Ovis aries: one gene and its partners. The protein of the gene in region 1 binds, or shares a complex with, the protein of each later gene. Links are inferred from orthologs where the notes say so. Each region holds a gene or a part of one and is shown in the gene's direction. Other genes may lie near its edges.

Evidence for each region.
Region 2: the proteins of EED (region 1) and EZH1 are in contact, whole or in part, in a cryo-EM structure (PDB 7KTP), measured with the Homo sapiens proteins. The link is inferred for Ovis aries from reciprocal best matches to the Homo sapiens genes EED and EZH1. Residues at the interface, in NP_003788.2 of Homo sapiens: Cys84, Val85, Asn86, Ser87, Leu88, Lys89, Glu90, Asp91, Trp103, His104, Ser105, Lys106, Glu107, Val112, Arg120, Leu123, Tyr124, Gln129, Gly130, Glu131, Ile132, Arg133, Leu134, Leu135, Gln136, Ser137, Tyr138, Val139, Asp140, Tyr154; in NP_001982.2 of Homo sapiens: Gly37, Ala38, Lys39, Leu41, Tyr42, Val43, Asn45, Phe46, Lys48, Val49, Gln50, Lys52, Thr53, Gln54, Leu56, Asn57, Glu59, Trp60, Leu63, Arg64, Val65, Gln66, Pro67, Val68, Gln69, Ser70, Met71, Cys83, Thr84, Ile85.
Region 3: EED (region 1) and RBBP7 share a complex: the UniProt entries of both Homo sapiens proteins name them as parts of the PRC2/EED-EZH2 complex. The link is inferred for Ovis aries from reciprocal best matches to the Homo sapiens genes EED and RBBP7.
Region 4: the proteins of EED (region 1) and JARID2 are in contact, whole or in part, in a cryo-EM structure (PDB 6C23), measured with the Homo sapiens proteins. The link is inferred for Ovis aries from reciprocal best matches to the Homo sapiens genes EED and JARID2. Residues at the interface, in NP_003788.2 of Homo sapiens: Pro95, Phe97, Tyr148, Arg306, Asn307, Tyr308, Cys324, Asp362, Ile363, Trp364, Tyr365, Arg414, Asp430; in NP_004964.2 of Homo sapiens: Pro109, Gln114, Arg115, Lys116, Phe117.

Annotation. Positions count from the first base shown.
Region 1 is NC_056074.1:8,802,012-8,806,538, reverse strand, and holds part of EED (polycomb protein EED), read left to right. Parts: intron 1-493; coding exon 494-619; intron 620-1,257; coding exon 1,258-1,339; intron 1,340-3,546; coding exon 3,547-3,638; intron 3,639-4,527. UniProt on the Homo sapiens protein: Polycomb group (PcG) protein. Component of the PRC2/EED-EZH2 complex, which methylates 'Lys-9' and 'Lys-27' of histone H3, leading to transcriptional repression of the affected target gene.
Region 2 is NC_056064.1:42,497,784-42,502,310, reverse strand, and holds part of EZH1 (histone-lysine N-methyltransferase EZH1), read left to right. Parts: intron 1-693; coding exon 694-874; intron 875-1,127; coding exon 1,128-1,324; intron 1,325-3,220; coding exon 3,221-3,312; intron 3,313-4,212; coding exon 4,213-4,253; intron 4,254-4,527.
Region 3 is NC_056080.1:15,051,396-15,055,922, reverse strand, and holds part of RBBP7 (histone-binding protein RBBP7), read left to right. Parts: intron 1-1,174; coding exon 1,175-1,335; intron 1,336-2,072; coding exon 2,073-2,199; intron 2,200-2,317; coding exon 2,318-2,395; intron 2,396-3,222; coding exon 3,223-3,299; intron 3,300-4,527. UniProt on the Homo sapiens protein: Core histone-binding subunit that may target chromatin remodeling factors, histone acetyltransferases and histone deacetylases to their histone substrates in a manner that is regulated by nucleosomal DNA.
Region 4 is NC_056073.1:40,682,699-40,687,225, reverse strand, and holds part of JARID2 (protein Jumonji), read left to right. Parts: intron 1-1,278; coding exon 1,279-1,384; intron 1,385-2,126; coding exon 2,127-2,309; intron 2,310-2,702; coding exon 2,703-2,833; intron 2,834-3,116; coding exon 3,117-3,300; intron 3,301-4,527.

The DNA of each region.
Region 1 (4,527 bases):
CAGCCATGCACATTCACGTATCCATTCTCCCCCAAACTCTCACTCTCATCCAGGCTGGCACATAATGTTGAGCAGAGTTCCATGTGCTATACAAGGGTTTTTGTTGGTTATGCATTTTAAATACAGCAGTGAGTACATGATCTTCCCAAAGACCTTGACTATCCGTTCCCCCGGAAACCTGTTTTTATAGATAAATTTGGGGGATACAACCTATGCCTATTCATTTACATATTGGCTGTGGCTGCTTTCAGAAAACAGGTAAACAGTTGTGCAAACAGCAAAATAGTAATCAAAATTGAGTGGAAGGATTGGGTTTGTTTGATCACTTGGTATAGATTTTAGACCTAAAATCTTCATTGTTTCAACCCTGATGGTATAAAGAAAAACGGGAACTTCTTTGTCAAGAGCTTCAGCAGTTCTTTGGACATTATTGTGGTCATTGATGTGTTTCCTTTTCAAAAGCAAATTATATTTCTTAACTGGGATTTCTTAGGCTGATGAAAACTTTTACACTTGTGCGTGGACATATGATAGTAACACAAGCCATCCTCTGCTGGCTGTTGCTGGATCTAGAGGCATAATTAGGATAATTAATCCCATAACAATGCAGTGCATAAAGGTGGGTTTTCTTGTTAAATTGTCGATCTGCTTCTTTTGTATGCACGCCTGTAAAAACTTGCCATGTTGAATTTAAAACGGAGTCAGTTTCTGTGCAGTTTTTAATTTGGTTTGTACTTTGCCTGTTGCTTCCTTTAGACAAGTCTTTTGAGACCTTTGTCATATTTGGGTCATGCAAATTAAGGAATAAATGGGAAAATTTTATCATTTGCACTGTTTTCTATTAAAATCATTTCTGTTCTTTTGCTTTATCCTGAGAAGCTCTAAATGAACAATAACTAAAGAGTGAGCTCATTTTTCAAGAACCCCTAAATAGGAGTATGGAGTCAAGGATACTTTGTAAAGAATTAAAAAGTGAAGCCTTGGAAGTTGATACTAAAAGAAATTTTACAAATCACTTTAACTCTGGGGGCACATTAGAATCACCTGAGAATCTTTTAAATCCTTGCTGTGGCTCAGAATATCTGCAAATGGGACTTCAGTGTCATTTATTTTTCCTTCAAGCTGGGTGATTTTAATATGCAGCCAAGGCTGAGAACCACTACTTCAAGTGAAATTATTTTTCCATTCTTTGAAGATTAGTGAAAATGAATTTATTGATTTTTATATGAAAGTTGAAGTGTCTTAAATTTATTATAGCACTATGTTGGCCATGGAAATGCTATCAATGAGCTGAAATTCCACCCAAGAGATCCAAATCTTCTCCTGTCAGTAAGTAAAGGTAAGAGAAACAAATATTTCCTTGTATAGTTGTATTTATTTGGGAGTGAGTTGGGTTTTTTGTTTGTTTAGTTTTGTTTGACTTCGGGACAAACTAATCTAAGGGAAATTTCCAAATTTAAAACGAAGTAAGTTTTAGAAAAATTTTGGGCTACATTAGCATCCCCAAACCAAGAACTGGAGAATGGGACCATGAAGTACACTGTTCCTGTAAGATGTAGATAAGATAATTGACACTGAGGATTAGATGTATGTTACCCTTATTTACCATATTGCATTATGATTGTTCTAGAACTTTATCCTCAATTGAATTATCATACTAAACTGTACTAATTTTAATGGCAGGTCACTGAAGTTGCAACATTTTTAGTAGTTTGAAGGTAGTCTAGCAAATTTCTGATGCTTTCCAACCATGTAATAAGAAATAGTGTATCTGAAAATCCATGATGCTTTTTTTTGCCTCTCTCTATAATGCTTCTATTTTATAAAAGATTCCCTACAGGATTCCTTAAAATGCTAAGTTATCCAGTGTAAGCTCTTCTAAATGTTTTCCTTCCTTACAAAGAGAAAGCATTGTCTTGCTCTGTATGCCCATGTTGGCATTGTAAGTTTATTTTGGGTTCAGACAGGCCTCTGAATCATTCTTAAATTTCTGAGCTCTCTAAAGTGATTTGAGTTGTTCTTATTTCTACATTCTGTTTTTTATTGCCCTTTCTCTTTTCATTTCTACATTATTATTCTAGTCAAATGTATTCTTTTCTTAACAGCTATCACACCTATAACCTAACCCCCATATTAAAAGATATCCTCAAATTAAAACTCTTACATGAAAAATATTTCAATGTGATTTTTCAACTATCAAGGCTTGTTTGGAAATAGACACCTAAGAAGAGAGCTGACAACTTTTTCTCTTCTGTTAATAACAGTAACTGGGCTCAGATATTCTTTTACAGGTAACATAGACCATAATGCCTTACTTGTTCTTAATGTCACAGTTTCCTAATCTTGCTCTTCCCCCATTGTGTTAGAGCATTTTTCAAACAGCTTTTCAAAATGAACAGGAATTTTTCTGCAAGTAAAACTCTCAAGAAAGGGAAAGACAACTTATAGGAAAAAAAAAGATATGCAAAGTGTGTATCTAATAAGGGACTTAAATCAAGAGGTCATATAGTTCAGTAATAAAAAGACAACCAAATTAAAAGCAAACAAAGGCTTTAAAAGTAGACATCTTTTGAAAGAATAGGCAAGAATGTCCAATAAGCACATGGAAAAGCACTCATTGTTAATCACTGCTGCTGCTCCTAAGTCGCTTCAGTCGTGTCTCACACTGTGTGACCCCATAAACGGCAGCCCACCAGGCTACCCCGTCCCTGGGATTCTCCAGGCAAGAACACTGGAGTGGGTATTGTTAATCATTAGGGAAATGCAAATCAAAAATACAGTGAGATAACCACTTCACACCTACTAGGATGATTGCAGTGAAAAAGACAGTAAAATAGGGAACCCCTTCATCCATTGCTGGTAGGAATGTAAAATGTGTAAGCACATTGAAAAACAATCTGGCAGTTCCTTAAAAAGCTAAACATAGAATTACACTCCTAGGTACGTGTATCTTCAAGAGAAATGTAAATGTCTGCACAAAAACTTGGATGCAGATTGAAATCATTGCTACAAAAAGAAATCATTTTTGTAGCAATGTTTATTTCCACTACTAACAATATGTTGTATAATATGTTAATATTACACAGTATAGACATTGTTATATTTCAAACTCTGCTTGGTATTTATGAATATTGCTTTCTATTTATTTTGTTGCTGATGTTCAGTGGAAAATGAGATTGCTCAGATTACAGTTATAGAATTTTTGAAAGGTCCATAATACTCTAAATAATGTCCCAATATGTGTATGTTTCAATCATATTTTTAGATTTACTGTAGAGATCTTATAAATCTACTTGTCCTCTTCAATTTGTAAATGTGGGTATGGTAGAGGGAAAAACTAGTACCCTTGAAAGTTTGAACTCATACCTAGTTAAATCTACAAGTAATATAAATATTTTAAGTTCCTATACGATATGGATTCCTTCTTAGTCATTACTGTGAATGAGTTAAGTCCAAACTTTGGTAGTTTTTTCTTTAAAGAGATATTAAAAGTCCACAGTAAATGAATGATAAAAGTTTATGTTAATTTTTTTATGTCTGTACTAGATCATGCTTTACGATTATGGAATATCCAAACGGACACTCTGGTGGCAATATTTGGAGGTGTAGAAGGGCACAGAGATGAAGTTCTAAGTGCTGTAAGTTGAAAGCTACAGGGCAGTGACCTTCAGGTTACAAAGCTGTGAACAATCCCTATAAGAAAGCACGTAGTTTGTTTCATGTAGCTTGGCAGGCAGTTATTTCATTTACTGTGACAGATAAGGTTTTAACTTAAAGATGAAGAAATAAAGCAAGTAGGCTCTTGGTGTTTTATCTGTACTCTTGCACGTGTTTTACCAGCACCTGGATTCTCATGAAAGAATTCTGTGAACTTGTTCTTTTCCTTTTTTAATCTAAAATCACCAAGTTACCTTTTGTTGTTTCTCAGTTATTAAAGGAAAAGGTTAACCTACTTGGCAATTAAGAAATTTTTTCACCTTTTATTTGAAGTTGAAATATAAGTTACTCATTTCTAGGAGGTATTGTTCACACTGACTTTTAGATAACTTCCCTTTGATGGCATGGTGTTGTCTTTATGCTTTGTATTACAATCTGTTGATCTGTTGTAGTGATATTAAGTGTTTTTAGTTAAGTTTCAGATTTTGTGTTGTTTAGGTTTATTTACCTTCTCTGTGTAGCTTACTTATTTAGTAGTCTTACAGCTCTTCAGCTTTTTTTTAAACTATTTTTAAAGGGCATTATATTTTGAAGCATGTGATATTTTAATTGGAGGTACTAAATATTCCTATATGCTTTTGTGAGAATCATACCTACCTTAAAGGATTTTCTAGAACTTGCAGAATTCTATCTGGCTTTATGTATGAAAAAACAAAGACTACTGTCCTTACTTAAAAACTGAATGAGAGCTCCTGGCTCTAGAGGTGTCTTGTTGCTATTGACAGTGAGGTTATTAGGAAAAGTAGCAGCTGCCAGACTTCTGAATTCAATAAACACCAAACCTGAAGCTCTCAGGCTTTTGTAAAACTG
Region 2 (4,527 bases), on another chromosome or scaffold:
GTTTCAGCTTCAGCCTCAGTCCTTCCAGTGAACACCCAGGACTGATCTCCTTTAGGATGGACTGGTTGGATCTCCTTGCAGTCCAAGGGACTCTCAAGAGTCTTCTCCAACACCATAGTTCAAAAGCATCAATTCTTTGACGCTCAGCTTTCTTCACAGTCCAACTCTCACATCCATACATGACCAATTGAGTGGTAATATTATACAAATTTAAGGATTATATATTTTCTTGCTGAAACAGAGACAAGTGTGGTAAAACATAAAGAACAGTGAGGCCTGGGGATGAAGGGCCCTGATTCTTGTACCTGTTCTGGAATAATTAGCTGCATGCTCTCAGCACATCCCTCATTTTCTCATCTACAGGAGAATGTATTCTCAAATTCCAGTCAGCTTGTGAGCAAATGAGTATAAGATACGACTCACTGGACAGTCAAAGATGCATAGAAACATCTGTGCATAATATATAAAGATTATATCTTTGTAAAGATTGTATTATAGGGCAGCTCTTTGTCAAGAGATAAGTGTGTAAGCTTTAAGATGTTTGTTAAGAAGCTATCACATGGTCATATATGGTACAGAGGAAAAAAAAAAGTGTCAAGTTGCAAGTCAGCACAGATATTGCAGATGGTTTGTGATGATGGGACCGATATGGTGGCCTGTTTCTGCTTCCTAACTGTAACATGACCTCTGCAGGAAGGAGCAAAGGAGTACGCCATGCTGCACAACCCTCGCTCCAAGTGCTCCGGGCGTCGCCGGCGAAGGCACCACGTGGTCAATGCTTCCTGCTCCAACACTTCAGCCTCTGCTGTGGCTGAGACCAAAGAAGGGGACAGTGACAGGGACACTGGCAATGACTGGGCCTCCAGTTCTTCAGGTACAGTGAGCAGAAAATGACCTCTTCTTGCTACACAAGGTAAACCCGGGATCATGCCGTAACAGTTAACATTACTACCTTTTTAAATTGTTCATTCTTTCCACAGGTTCACCTGTAAGCAGTAGAGACAGGGAATATTTTCGTTCCTAATTCTTCTACCTTTTGGTGTAGAATGAAGTGCTGAGTTTGTAGCAAACCACTGAGGCCAGCTGCATTCCACCTTCTGTGTTTCTCTCATTCCTTTCTCTCTTAGAGGCGAACTCTCGCTGTCAGACGCCCACGAAACAGAAGGCGAGTCCAGCCCCACCTCAGCTCTGTGTAGTGGAAGCACCCTCAGAGCCTGTGGAGTGGACTGGGGCTGAAGAATCTCTTTTTCGAGTCTTTCATGGCACCTACTTCAACAACTTCTGTTCAATAGCCAGACTTCTGGGGACTAAGACGTGTAAGCAGGTACTGCCTGAAGGGGACGGGAACAAGTCCTTGCCCCGGGAGCCCTTTGGTCACTTTGTAAGGCTGCCTGTCTGGACAGAAGCTGTCTTAGGTTCAGTCTTTCGTGAGCCTGTGCTTCTGGACCAGGAGGTGGATTCCCCAAACTTGGGGGGCTTTCTGCAAATACCAGGCCTAGCAATACTTAGGATCTGCTCTCCTTGCTGAATCCTTACTTCTGTCTCTAGCCACTATCTAACTCTTCTGGATGTTTCTACCCTCTCTTAGGTTTTTTCTTTTTTTTTTTTGGTGGTGGCAGTGGTGTTCTTGCCTTTCTTTCTAATGCATGCATACATGCTAAGTCGCTTCAGTTGTGTCCAACTCTGTGCAACCCAATGGACAGCAGCCCACCAGGCTCCTCTGTCCACAGGATTCTCCAGGCAAGAATACTGGAGTGGGTGGCTGTTTCCTTCTCCGTTTCTTTCTAAATGTGGACCCATTTCCTGGAAGGCACTCCTGGGTCCTTCTGGGGATCTTCTTTTCTCACACCCCTGCTCCTGCTTCTGTAGCTGCAGCTGCCACCACCCCCCAAGTCAGTCTTCTCAGTTGTTTATTCTTCAAATGTTCTATCATTAGATTTCCTAATTACCACCCCTAATGGCTGGGTCTGGACCTTGTGCATCTCACTTACATCATCACTAGAATCACCATCTGATAGCAGCTTCTGATGTTTTGGAGGCTGGAGAAGCCTACAGGGAGCAGACAAACTGAAGCACAGGGATAGGGAGTCAGGTATTGGGGCCAACTGGTCCAAACAGGAACACCAGAGCTTGAGCCCTCCTCGCTTAGCTCCTCACTTTCCAGAAGAGTCTGCAATCTTTTCTGCATGTACTCTCTATTTAGAACAAGTAGTAGAACCATGAGCTGAAGTGCCCTTTGCTTTCTTTTCTTTTTAAGTGAAAGAAGGTTTACTCAAGGGGAAAACACCATAGATGGAGTGTGAGCCATCTCAGAAGGCACGAGAGGCCGTTTTGGAGGAAGTAGAAATGAATAGCTTTATTGCTTTGCCAGGCAAAAGGAGACACAGCAGGCTCATGCCTTGAAAAAGGCGTGTCCCCTATTCCTTTTTTTTTTTTAATTTCATACCTATCTCCCCAAGGCACAGGTTTTTGATCTAAAAGCCTGCAAACTGTGTACAAAGCAATTTTTGTGTGTTATTTTCCTGAATATAAGATTCACAGTTTTCATGGAATTGCGAGAGGGCCTGTAACCGAAAAGAAAAAGCTAAGAAACAAATGTTCAAAGGGAAACAGCATGTTAAAAGGGACCAGGCCTTCGTGAAATGCTGTCCTGCTAAAATAATAGTCAAGGCTCTAACATCTTTATGCCAGCAGAGGGAGCTAGCGCTTAGCCGGGTGGTACTTCAGGTCACATCACTCAGTTACACAAGGTATACAACACTGCCCTTCCTGATAAGAAGCAGATACTGTTGGTAAGAATTGACTCCCTCTGGATTGGAAGGCAGAGCAGTAGATGAACGCGACTGACCAGAAAAACCGTACCTGTGCTCAGTCAGGATAAACACTTAAGAATTAACTTCAGGGACTTCCCTGGTGATGCAGTGGTTAAGACTCCTTGTTCCCAATGCCGGGGGTATGGGTTCAATCCCTCGTCAGGGAACAGGGAACTAAGGTCCTGCACATCACATGGCATACCCAAAAACAAATCAAGACCAAAAACACAACCAGAAACAAAGAGCTTCAGAAACAGCAACCTGGTGTCCCGGTGCTTCTCTGTCTGTGCCTGCTAAAGACGCTCAGACATCTGCCCACAAGCTCTCCAGAAACCAGCACCTGGCTACGTCACTTATCTGACCCCTCAGCTCAAGAGGTAACAGGTCCTGTTGGATTTCTCTTCCAGGTCTTCCAGTTTGCAGTCAAAGAGTCACTTATCCTGAAGCTGCCCACAGATGAGCTTATGAACCCCTCACAGAAGAAGAAGAGAAAGCACAGGCAAGGCTTGGACCAAAGGCTTTCTGTGGCCAGACCGTTCCCTGTTCCCTGACCTCCCCTAGGGCTTCGCTGCTGCCTCCCTTTGCAGCCACTGCCCATCAGTTCAGCATCACCCAGTGGAGGGCCAGTCTCCTCAGTGCTCCCTGCGAGTCTGTGTCTTGAATCAGCCCTTCCCTTGTCCCGCAGTGCTGTGGACCATGAAATAACTGATTTTTAAGCTCCCGGCCAGCAGGATGTGAACTGGCCTCGTGGCTCCATCCTGAGGCCGTTTCTTCTCGCTGGGTTGTTATTACCACTGTGCTCACTTCTCAACTCTGACCAGAGTTTTGTTGTTCTGTTTTTGGCACTTGTATCTCTAAGTTGCATAATAACACTGTCTTCTAGCTAACCTTTGCTTAGGGTTGGAAGGTGTTTTTTTTGCAGCCAATACTCCATCTGGCTTTGTTCCGTAAAAAACTGACACTGGTTCCAGATATAGAAGGAAATCCCTGTGGCATCTCCCTTTCAATTTCTTCACTCAGAGCAGATTTCTGAAGTCTTCCCACCTCCCCATCCTGAAACGCTCCCACATCTCCACCTCCTATAAGAGAGGGAGGGCAGGGGAGAGGAGAAATGGAGAAACAGTAGCATTTTAATAGATGTAGAGGGTTTGGTTTGGTCTTGCATCTGTTTTTGGTTTTTTATGTATGTTTGTTTATGGGTGGGCTGTGTTCTTGTTTAAATCTTGAGCCAGAGGCCAGCTGCAGGTAAAGTGGGCTCCAGCTTCTGTGGACCCGTGTCCAGGCCTGTTGTGAAGGGATTTGGGGAGGATCCCAGTCCCCCAGAGGAGGTCATGCTATCATTTACCCAAATCTGCAGAGTTCCCAGGACCACAACCCTGAGCTGTACCGTCTCTTGCAGGTTGTGGGCTGCACACTGCCGGAAAATTCAGCTGAAGAAAGGTAAGTTCCACTGGGGCACTGCGCTCAGGTTGCAGCCTGTGGCCACCCCTCCCCCGCCCCACCTGTGGCTGCACTTATTGACCCTGCATGGCTTCCGCACGTTGCAGGTCCCCCCTGCAACAGCTGATAACAGCTCAGCTCCTCACTGCAGCTGAGAAGACCTCTCAGGAGATAGAGTCACAGGCCTGTGGTCTCTGACTTTCATCGTGAGCCATATACAAGGTTCTAGGCTTCATTTAGTGTTTTGAGGTGGGATTTGTTTTATTTTTTTTGG
Region 3 (4,527 bases), on another chromosome or scaffold:
CCAAATTAGGCCAGTGAGGATGTTACTCTTGCCATCCCTGGAAAGTGGATGTAACACTCCCCATGCCCCTCTACCCTGTCATCAGAACAGAGTCTCTGAAAGAAAGCCTTCTTCTGTTTCCCTCAGAGTGGGCATAGGATAGTCTCCCACACAGGGAGGATGGGTTATACTCAAGAACTTAATTACTAGTACTTTTTGAAGACACCAGGCTGGGAGTTGCTAGTCATAATTAATAGCTGACGTTTCCTAAGGGCTCCACATATGCGAGGCATCTTGGTAATTTTCCCAGGATCTTTCTGAGGTGAGGAGCAGGTAATAGTTCGACACATTCCACCTTTTCCATGCATGTAAATTGCGTCCAAATGTGTGAGTATCAACAGAGACTAAGGGCCACATGTATTGTGTAACAGAAACCCTTTCAGATAATAAAATGATTGATGAAGAGAGGAAGCTGATACTAGTGTCAGTGGAATTAATTTGAATATACCTTAATGGAATTACCTCTTACTCCATTGAGGTGACAATCACTGCCCTATACTTTGCAATATTTTTTCATAGAAACTTCAGACTCTTCTCAGCTATTTTTATGACGAGATGTTAAGAAAAGACTCAAACTCTCAAAGCCTGCGGATCTGTAACCTTTGAGGTCTGGGCAGGCCCTGTGGTCTCTTCAGTAGCCTTGTAGGGGTTTCTAGGTTGTTCAGCTGTTGGCACTTGCTGATGTATGTAGTGGTTTCTGCTGTGAAGTGACAGCTGTCCAAAAGCTTTCACTTTTTAAGAAGCATGTTTTAGTTTTAATTCCCAGTTTCCCAGCCCAGCATGAAGTTTTAAGATATGCATTTCAGTTTGGTGGATATTGAACCCCAGGCTCGTGTTGTGTAATCTAGGTGAATTTTAGATACTTGATTGAATGTATGTAGGTGGAAACTCAAACCAGAATGTTTCTTGCCTGCCACCATGCTGTCCTCCCGTCCCCATTACACTGTATTTTCCTTCCCCTCTGCATCTCAGATTGTGGAAGCTACACCTGTACACTTTGCTGTTTATGAAACTTCACTTTTTTAAAAAATTTTCATATAGTAAGTAGCTTTGTTTTTAATAAAGAGTTTTAAATAAGGTGTTAGCATTTAAATTCAGTCTCTCATAACTGACTCTTGTTTTGTTCCTTCTTCAGACTGTCTGTCTGTGGGATATTAATGCAGGACCAAAGGAAGGCAAAATTGTGGATGCTAAAGCAATTTTTACCGGCCACTCGGCTGTTGTAGAGGATGTGGCCTGGCACCTGCTGCATGAGTCCTTGTTTGGATCTGTTGCTGATGATCAGAAACTTATGATGTAAGGTGGAAAATTGAGTGGGGTTTTGTTATATGGGTGTCCTGAATGACCATCAGTGATTGTGGTGGCTTTTAAATTGTGTCTTGGCCTTCAAAAAAAGAAAAACAGCTTTAGTGAGGTATAATTGACATGAGAAGCTATAAATAGGGATGGCCTTTTTACGTAAAAGTTACTGTGCTGTATGATTGAACACAACTTTTTATTTAGAAAAAGAAAAAAACAGGTACGTGCACATGAGGAAACATGCTTGGGGCAGTGGTATGTATCAAAATCGGGGATCAGGGTAACTTGCCTTGAAGTTGAGGGAGGAGAGTGATTGTGCATCAAGGCATGGCTACAGGGCTGCATTCAAGCACCTGGAATGCTTTTTATCTCATAAACTAGCATCTGAGGCAAACAAAGCAAAATACTGAATTTGACTAGGCTAGGTTATAGATATGAAACAGTAGTCTCTAGTATTTTGTGCATGCTTGAAATAGTTGGTAATCCAGATAGGGACGTAATGAACAAGAAAGCAGAGGTAGCCCTAGTTTGTTCTGTGCAGGTTTAGAGCATATCACCTAGTGGTTGGAAGTCCAAGTTGCCAACTCTGCATGGTTAGTGTCCCTGAAAGGCAAGTTAGCGAGAGAGGAGTGGCATGGAGTGGTGCTGATGTGGGCACAAGTGTTGGGGAGGGAGGTGGGGCAGGGTTGAGTGGCCTGCTCTTGCGCTGTGTGCCTTGTACCTTTGTGTTTTAGATGGGACACTAGGTCCAACACCACCTCCAAGCCGAGCCACCTGGTTGATGCGCACACTGCCGAGGTCAATTGCCTGTCCTTCAATCCCTACAGCGAGTTCATTCTTGCAACTGGCTCTGCGGATAAGGTTTCTAAGTTTTTGCATATTTGGTGTTTACAAACCTACTTGTCTTTGTTACTACAATATTTTAAAATTCTTATGTAAAGTGCAGAAACAAATTCCTTTTCATTTTATTTTTCTTCAGACTGTAGCTTTATGGGATCTGCGTAACTTAAAATTGAAACTCCATACCTTTGAATCTCATAAAGATGAAATTTTCCAGGTATGTGACAGTTTTCTGGTGTCTCTGTCAGATTTTAGTAACTTTTTACTAGAGAGAAGTTTATAAATTTTTTTCTTTTACATAGTGGACTTGGGACATTGGGTTTTTGTTTTGTTTTTGGCTATGCCATGTGGCTTGTGGGATCTTAGTTCACCAACCAGGGATTGAACCCTGGCAGTGAAAGCCTAGAGTGCTAACCATTGGACCACCAGGGAATTCCCTGTGTTTGTTTGTTTTTTTTTTTTTAAAGCTCCTTGCCTACTGTGTAAGTAAACTAGTGAGAAATAACTTGGAGATTTCTAGATATTGTTAGTTCAGAAGTAAAAGGAACAGTCTTTGCAAAATAGGATCAGTTTAAAAAGTAAAGATAGTTTCCTGGTAGTCTAGTGGTTAGGATTCAGCACTGTCATTGCTGTGGCCTGGTTTAAATCCCTGGTCATGGAACTGAGATCTCAGAAGCTGAGCAGTACAGCCAAAAATAAGTAAATTAATTTTTTAAATGAAATCTTATATATGGTTTAAAATAGAGATGTGCATAGGCTAAGGTACACTTCATGTTAAAAGAAATGTTAAAAGCTTCTGGGGTGGTTTGGGAGCTAAGTTTATTGGGAGCCCTAGCAGAGTTACCCTTGAGGAATATGACCCTCCCAGGGGAAGGCTGAAGAGATGTTTCATTTAAGAGCACCTGAAGGGACAGCACAAAGAGTGAAGGCTTGTAGGCCAAGCAAAGGGTACAGAAGATGAAATGGGAAAATATCTAGGATTAGAACAACAGCCACAGACCCAGTAATGGATGATTCTTTATGTTTTCAAATATGTGTTGCTAGGTCCACTGGTCTCCACATAACGAAACCATTCTGGCTTCAAGTGGTACTGATCGCCGCCTGAATGTGTGGGATTTAAGGTAACTCAGGATCTGGTGACAAAAATTGCATAAATATGCTAATATAGCAGATTATGTAATAATTCATAGACTAGAAGAGCGATTTGCTAACCCCAGTTTAATAAGTCTAAAATTAATCTTCAGTACCTTCCTAAAGAGTCTGTTCCATAAAATAGAAGTGAATCAGCAAATGGAATGTGAAAAAAATTGATGCAAATGTGAGTTTTGATTTTCTTTGTAATTAGGACTGAAGTCAGGGTTAGGGGTGCATGTGTGTTTTAACATCCAAACAATGGTATTGAAAAAACTCTTGCTATAGAAAGGGGTAAAGACGTCAGCTGTTTGTGTCTCCTTAGATTTCAACGTACATCTGCAGGACTAATCTTTTTCAGTTGTTTTTTTCCCACAGGTATGAGCTCTTCCTGTGGGTTGTGTAACTGCTGAGGATGAGAACAGGATAAGCACAGCCAATGCCATCAGAGCTTATGTTCTTCTGGGGGTTCATTATGGAAACAGTTTCTCCCAATTCTTAAAGTTCCTTGACTGCAGGGTTGCTATTCTAAGAATTTCAGACTGTTCGCTTTTTTTTGAGCTTTTAGAGCCATTAATAATGTTGCTGTATTATGTATCTCTCCGTAGAGATGTTCTTATCTGGAATCTAAATCATAGCATTTCCCAAAATAACTTCTTTCCTACCTGTATTGCTTTGAAGTGGACTAAGTGTTTAGTCAAGGCTGCCTTAATTACAAAGACAGTATACCCACTTTTCAGTGTATGGAACAGTAAAACTGCTAAACTGCTAATGTTCTGTGTTCTTACAGAAGAAACCCTAGTCATGATAGATGCTTGAAAATGTAGAGAATCTTTAAAACAGACATCTGAGAATATTCTTTTTTACTTGAAAACACTAGCAAAGTCCACCTGTGGAATAGGTATCAAGGATGATAATGGTTTGTAACTTGAGTGACTTCACTGTCGGAACTGCTAGCAAATTCTACAAATTGAAGTTTTGGGGGGTTGTGTTTGTTTTTTTAATTGAATTAAGATAAGAAAAAATTAAAACTTACCCTGTCCTTGGCTTATACATTCCATATTTAAAGTTGTTTTGTTGCCCTATCTTTAGCAGATCTGCAGTATTGGTGTGTAGTTGTATTTTACTCCTGGGATGAACAAGGGTTTAAGAGTGAAATGTAGGGATTAGGCATCAGTTCTTCTGTAAATATTTTATATACTTTTCACCTTTTAATCC
Region 4 (4,527 bases), on another chromosome or scaffold:
CGTCGGTGTCGGAGCAGGCAGGCCCTCTGCTGGGTTTCCTGTGGTGGGGCCAGGGTCTCAGGCAGCGTGGAGGGTCGAAGAGCTGCATAGACTCAGGGGGTGTGAGCCCCCTGCCCTGTGCCCCTGGTCCTTCATCAGAAAGTGGGGCCACGTGGCCTCGGCCCTGCAGGGAGACAGGGTGAGAGGCTGCGGCCTGCGTGCTGAGTGACTGCTGAGTGAGAGGCAGGGGACGTAAGGCTCTGGAACCTCTGTGCTGCAGGGACAGGTTGCCAGAAAGGATCAGAGGACTTCACGGTGTGGTTTTTCTTAAAACGTGTGAGTGAGGTTAGAAACTCTGGACTTAAGTCAGATCAGCAATAGAATATGTTGGTGTTGAGACAACAAGCCTCTCGAAGAACCTTGACTAGGTTAGTAGTAGTGAGGACCCCCGCCCGGTAGACCGCTCATCACGGGTGCCCTCCCCGCCCAGCCTAGGGGAGGTGGGGACAGGCAGCCTGAAGCCCCGCACGTAGCTGTGGGGAGGGCAGGGGGTGGTCAGCTGTCCCCTCTAGCCCGTGGACGGCAGGGCTGGGAGTCCCAGAGCAAGAGACCAGGAGGAGCCTGCCTCTGTGCAGACCACTGCCACCAGCGTCTCGAGCGCTGTAGGCGACAGGTGTGTCCCCCGGGGTCCTCCTGGGACCCGAGTGGTCACTGCCTCCCTCCTGCTCCCCGGCCTGCACTGAGGGTCCTGGTTCTTCGAGCTGAGCTGAGGCCGCGTCCTCTCCCACCGGCCCCGCTGGGCTCTGGCCCCAGTCAGCGGGGGCTGTGTTGTCTGAGCCCCACCCTGCGGGGCTGCTCCCTCCACCTTGTAGAGGCCCTTGGTGTGGGTGGGTTCCACGCTGAGCCCTGGTCCCGCCCTGTCCTCCATCTGCTGGAGAGAAGGGTCAGGTGCCAGCCCAGCAATAAGTGCCCGCTCTGGAGGCTCACAAGAGGCTGTTGAAGCTGCGGACATGTCTGGATCTGATTTATAGGGGCTTTAAATGTCTGGTTTTGGTCTGAAGGCTGCATGGCTTGGGCATAGGTTGGACCCGCATGCAGGTGGGCATGCTCGTCACGGGGCATAAGCGGCAGAGCTGCCCAGAGAGACCCAGGGCCACTGGGCACATGCCCACCTCCCTTCCTGCAGCTGAGGCCGGTCTCCAGGCAGCTGTGGGCCCCTCTTTCTGGGGGAGTACGGAGGGCGGGCTCCCTGGGGAGGGGCCTTGTCAGCAGCCTCCGCCCTGATTCCAAACCGCCCAGGTATTGCATTCCTGCTGAGGAGGAACACAAGCTGGAGGACGTGGTGCACACTCTGCTGCAAGCCAACGGCACCCCTGGCCTGCAGATGCTCGAGAGCAACGTCATGGTAGGGGCCGCGGGCTGGGGTGGCGGGGCCACAGGCTAGGGCGGCGGGGGCCGTGGGTGGGGGCCGCGAGGCGGTTTCATTTACTCACCCCTCGGCTGACCTGCCCTGCAGAACTAGAGGACCGTGAACAACCAATCCAGGGAGCCATCGTAAAAAAAAAAAAACTCTTTTATGGAAACACAACTAAAGCATGCTCCTCTCATTGCCCAGGATGTGGGGCCCTTTGACTCCGTTTCGGGCCTGGTGGGTTTGTAAATGGCGACTGGGGTCGGGCCAGGCACCTGCACGCTGGGCAGGATCACTGAGGGCTGAGAGCAGAGGCAGCTGGACCAGTTCTCAGAGCCTGTTGAGTCCTGTTGTGTTCTGACAGCCTGATCTCAGGTCTTCTCTGGCCTCTGCGGCCCTTGTCGGGGTCTTCTCTCCCAAGCCCATAGCCGCCGTGCGGCAGGGATCCAGGGCTCTGCTTGTGAGGGTCCCTGATCACCGCTGCCGTGCCCTTGTCTCAGGCGTTGCCCCTGGGCCTGTATCAGTTTAGAACTTCCTCTTCCTTCACTTAGGGGTCACGTCTCTTTTATTTTCTAAAAGAGAAACAGAGAATCTGTAATACAGGACATACTCCGGGTGGGGAGCAGGCTTCAGCCCCGACGCCCGTCCGGAGGGCCGGTGTGCTGGGCCGCTGCCGCAGGCGGTCCTCACGGAAAGCGGGGCAGGAGGCGGGTGGCTCAGCGCCACGTCTCCGCAGATCTCCCCGGAGGTGCTGTGCAGGGAGGGGATCAAGGTGCACAGGACGGTGCAGCAGAGTGGCCAGTTCGTCGTCTGCTTCCCGGGATCCTTCGTGTCCAAAGTCTGCTGTGGCTACAGCGTCTCCGAGACCGTGCACTTCGCCACCACCCAGTGGACGAGCATGGGCTTCGAGACGGCCAAGGTAGGCAGGTGGCCACTCCGCACGCGGCCCGGCGTCCCCCAGTGGGGGTCTTGTTTGTAGATACAGCCTAAGGCGGCTGAGAAGCTCGTCTGGGGAGGGAGAGTGGCTCCAGGCTGGCTAGCCTCCTGTAAGTTGCTGAGTTCTCTAGCTCAGCCCTGGGCCGTCGCTGCAGAGGTGTGAAAGGCGAACCCTGCCTTTGGCTGGCGGAGGACCTGGGGTCTGCGGTCTTCCTCGGGGGAGACAAGATCATCGTGTGGTTTTTGCGTTGCTTTTCATCCAAATGGAATTCAGAATTTGAAAATTCAGATAGCACCGCCTCCCCAATAAAGGAAACCCTTGATAGCTGCCTAGAAATGAAAACCTGCCCTGAAGGGATGTGACTGCCTCTTTCAGGAGATGAAGCGTCGCCATATAGCTAAGCCATTCTCGATGGAGAAGTTACTCTACCAGATCGCACAAGCGGAAGCAAAAAAGGAAAACGGTTCCACTCTCAGTACCATCTCAGCCCTTCTGGACGAGCTCAGGTAACACGAGACAGTTCTAGGCCGGCCCATCTAGGCTCAGCCAGGCATGGTGAGGGTGCGGTCCGTCCTTTGTGGGGAAGCGCTGGCCTCCTCTTCCTGGGGCTCGGCCGGAGGCTGAAGGCTGCAGGTGGTGGCTCTTCGGCGCTTGGCCGTGTGCCCCGTGGTCACAGCAGGCAGAGTGTGGCCGTCCAAGAGGCCTTGGGGCAGGTCTGGCCTTTTGACTTGGGTGCCCAACTGAGGACCCCAGCCCCTGTGGGCCAGCTGACCCCCGGTGTCCTGGCAGGGATACGGAGCTGCGGCAGCGGCGGCAGCTCTTCGAGGCTGGCCTCCACTCCTCCGCCCGCTACGGCAGCCACGACGGCAGCAGCGCAGCGCCCGACGGCAAGAAGAAGCCTCGGAAGTGGCTGCAGCTGGAGACCTCGGAGAGGCGATGCCAGGTGTGCCAGCACCTGTGCTATCTGTCCATGGTGAGCCCCGCGCGTGCCCCGCCCGGCCTCCCCGCAGGCTGACTGTGGGGATGCGGCTGCCCCGCCCAGCCTCCCCGCTGGCTGACTGTGGGGATGCGGCTGCCCCCGCCCGGCCTCCCCGCGGGCTGACTGCGGGGACGTGGCTGCCCCCGCCCGGCCTCCCCGCGGGCTGACTGCGGGACACGCGTGCCCCGCCCGGCCTCCCCGCGGGCTGACTGCGGGACGCGCGTGCCCCGCCCGGCCTCCCCGCGGGCTGACTGCGGGGATGCGGCTGCCCCAGTCACTTTCCTGGCCTCCCCGCGGGCTGACTGTGGGGACGCGGCTCCCTGGCTTTCCTGGCCTCTCCTTAGCTTTCCTGGCCTCTTGAAGCTTCTGTTCAGCTGCGCGGTTGCTCTGGTTGCCCCAAGGACTCTGAAGTCTGTCTGGTAAAGCAGCACTTCCCATTCCCAGCTTTCCGTCCCTGGTCGTGGCTGGAAACCAGCGCAGTCCAGCCCTTCTGCCTTCTCTCTCGGCTGTCCCGCAGCCTCCACGATGGGCTTGTCTGACCCAGCCGGGGGCTGAGTTACACGCCTCACGCTCCTACACCCAGCCCAGCCCCCTCCCGCCTCCTTCAGGCAGTGGCTCCCCGCACAGGTCTCTGTAGCTGTTGTAGTTAGCCAGGGCTGCTGTACTGCACTACTGACTGCTGCCGTGAACAGCAGAAACGTCTCTCTCATAGTTGTAGAGGCTGGGAGTCCCGGGTCAAGGTGTCAGCAGGTTGGTTCTCCCTGAGGCGTCTCCTTGGCATGTAGACATCCACTTCCCCTTGGTGCTCACGGGGCCTTTCCTGTGAGTGCTTCTGTCTTAATCGCTTCTTGTCTTTGAAAGGATGTAAGTCATACGGGACCAGAATCCACCCTACAGCCTCATTTTCCCTGCTTCTGTCTCCGACGCTCCTGCTCAGGACCTCCTGAGTTACTGAGGGTTAGGACATCTGCATTTGGGGAGGGGATAATAATTCAGTCCATGACAACCACGGGTCCCATTTTATGTATTTCTTCTATTAGTTTTGTTTTCCCAGAGGCTTTTTAAAAAATACAAATTAGAACCACGCTGTCTTTAAAACAAGTCATAAGAGTTTCACCAGATTTTAGAAATGTTTTGTGGATATCACTCACGAAAGCTGCATAGTTCTGGGTTTGTTCGTCTTGCATTGGAATGGGGTTATACTCGTGGGAAACCATCATT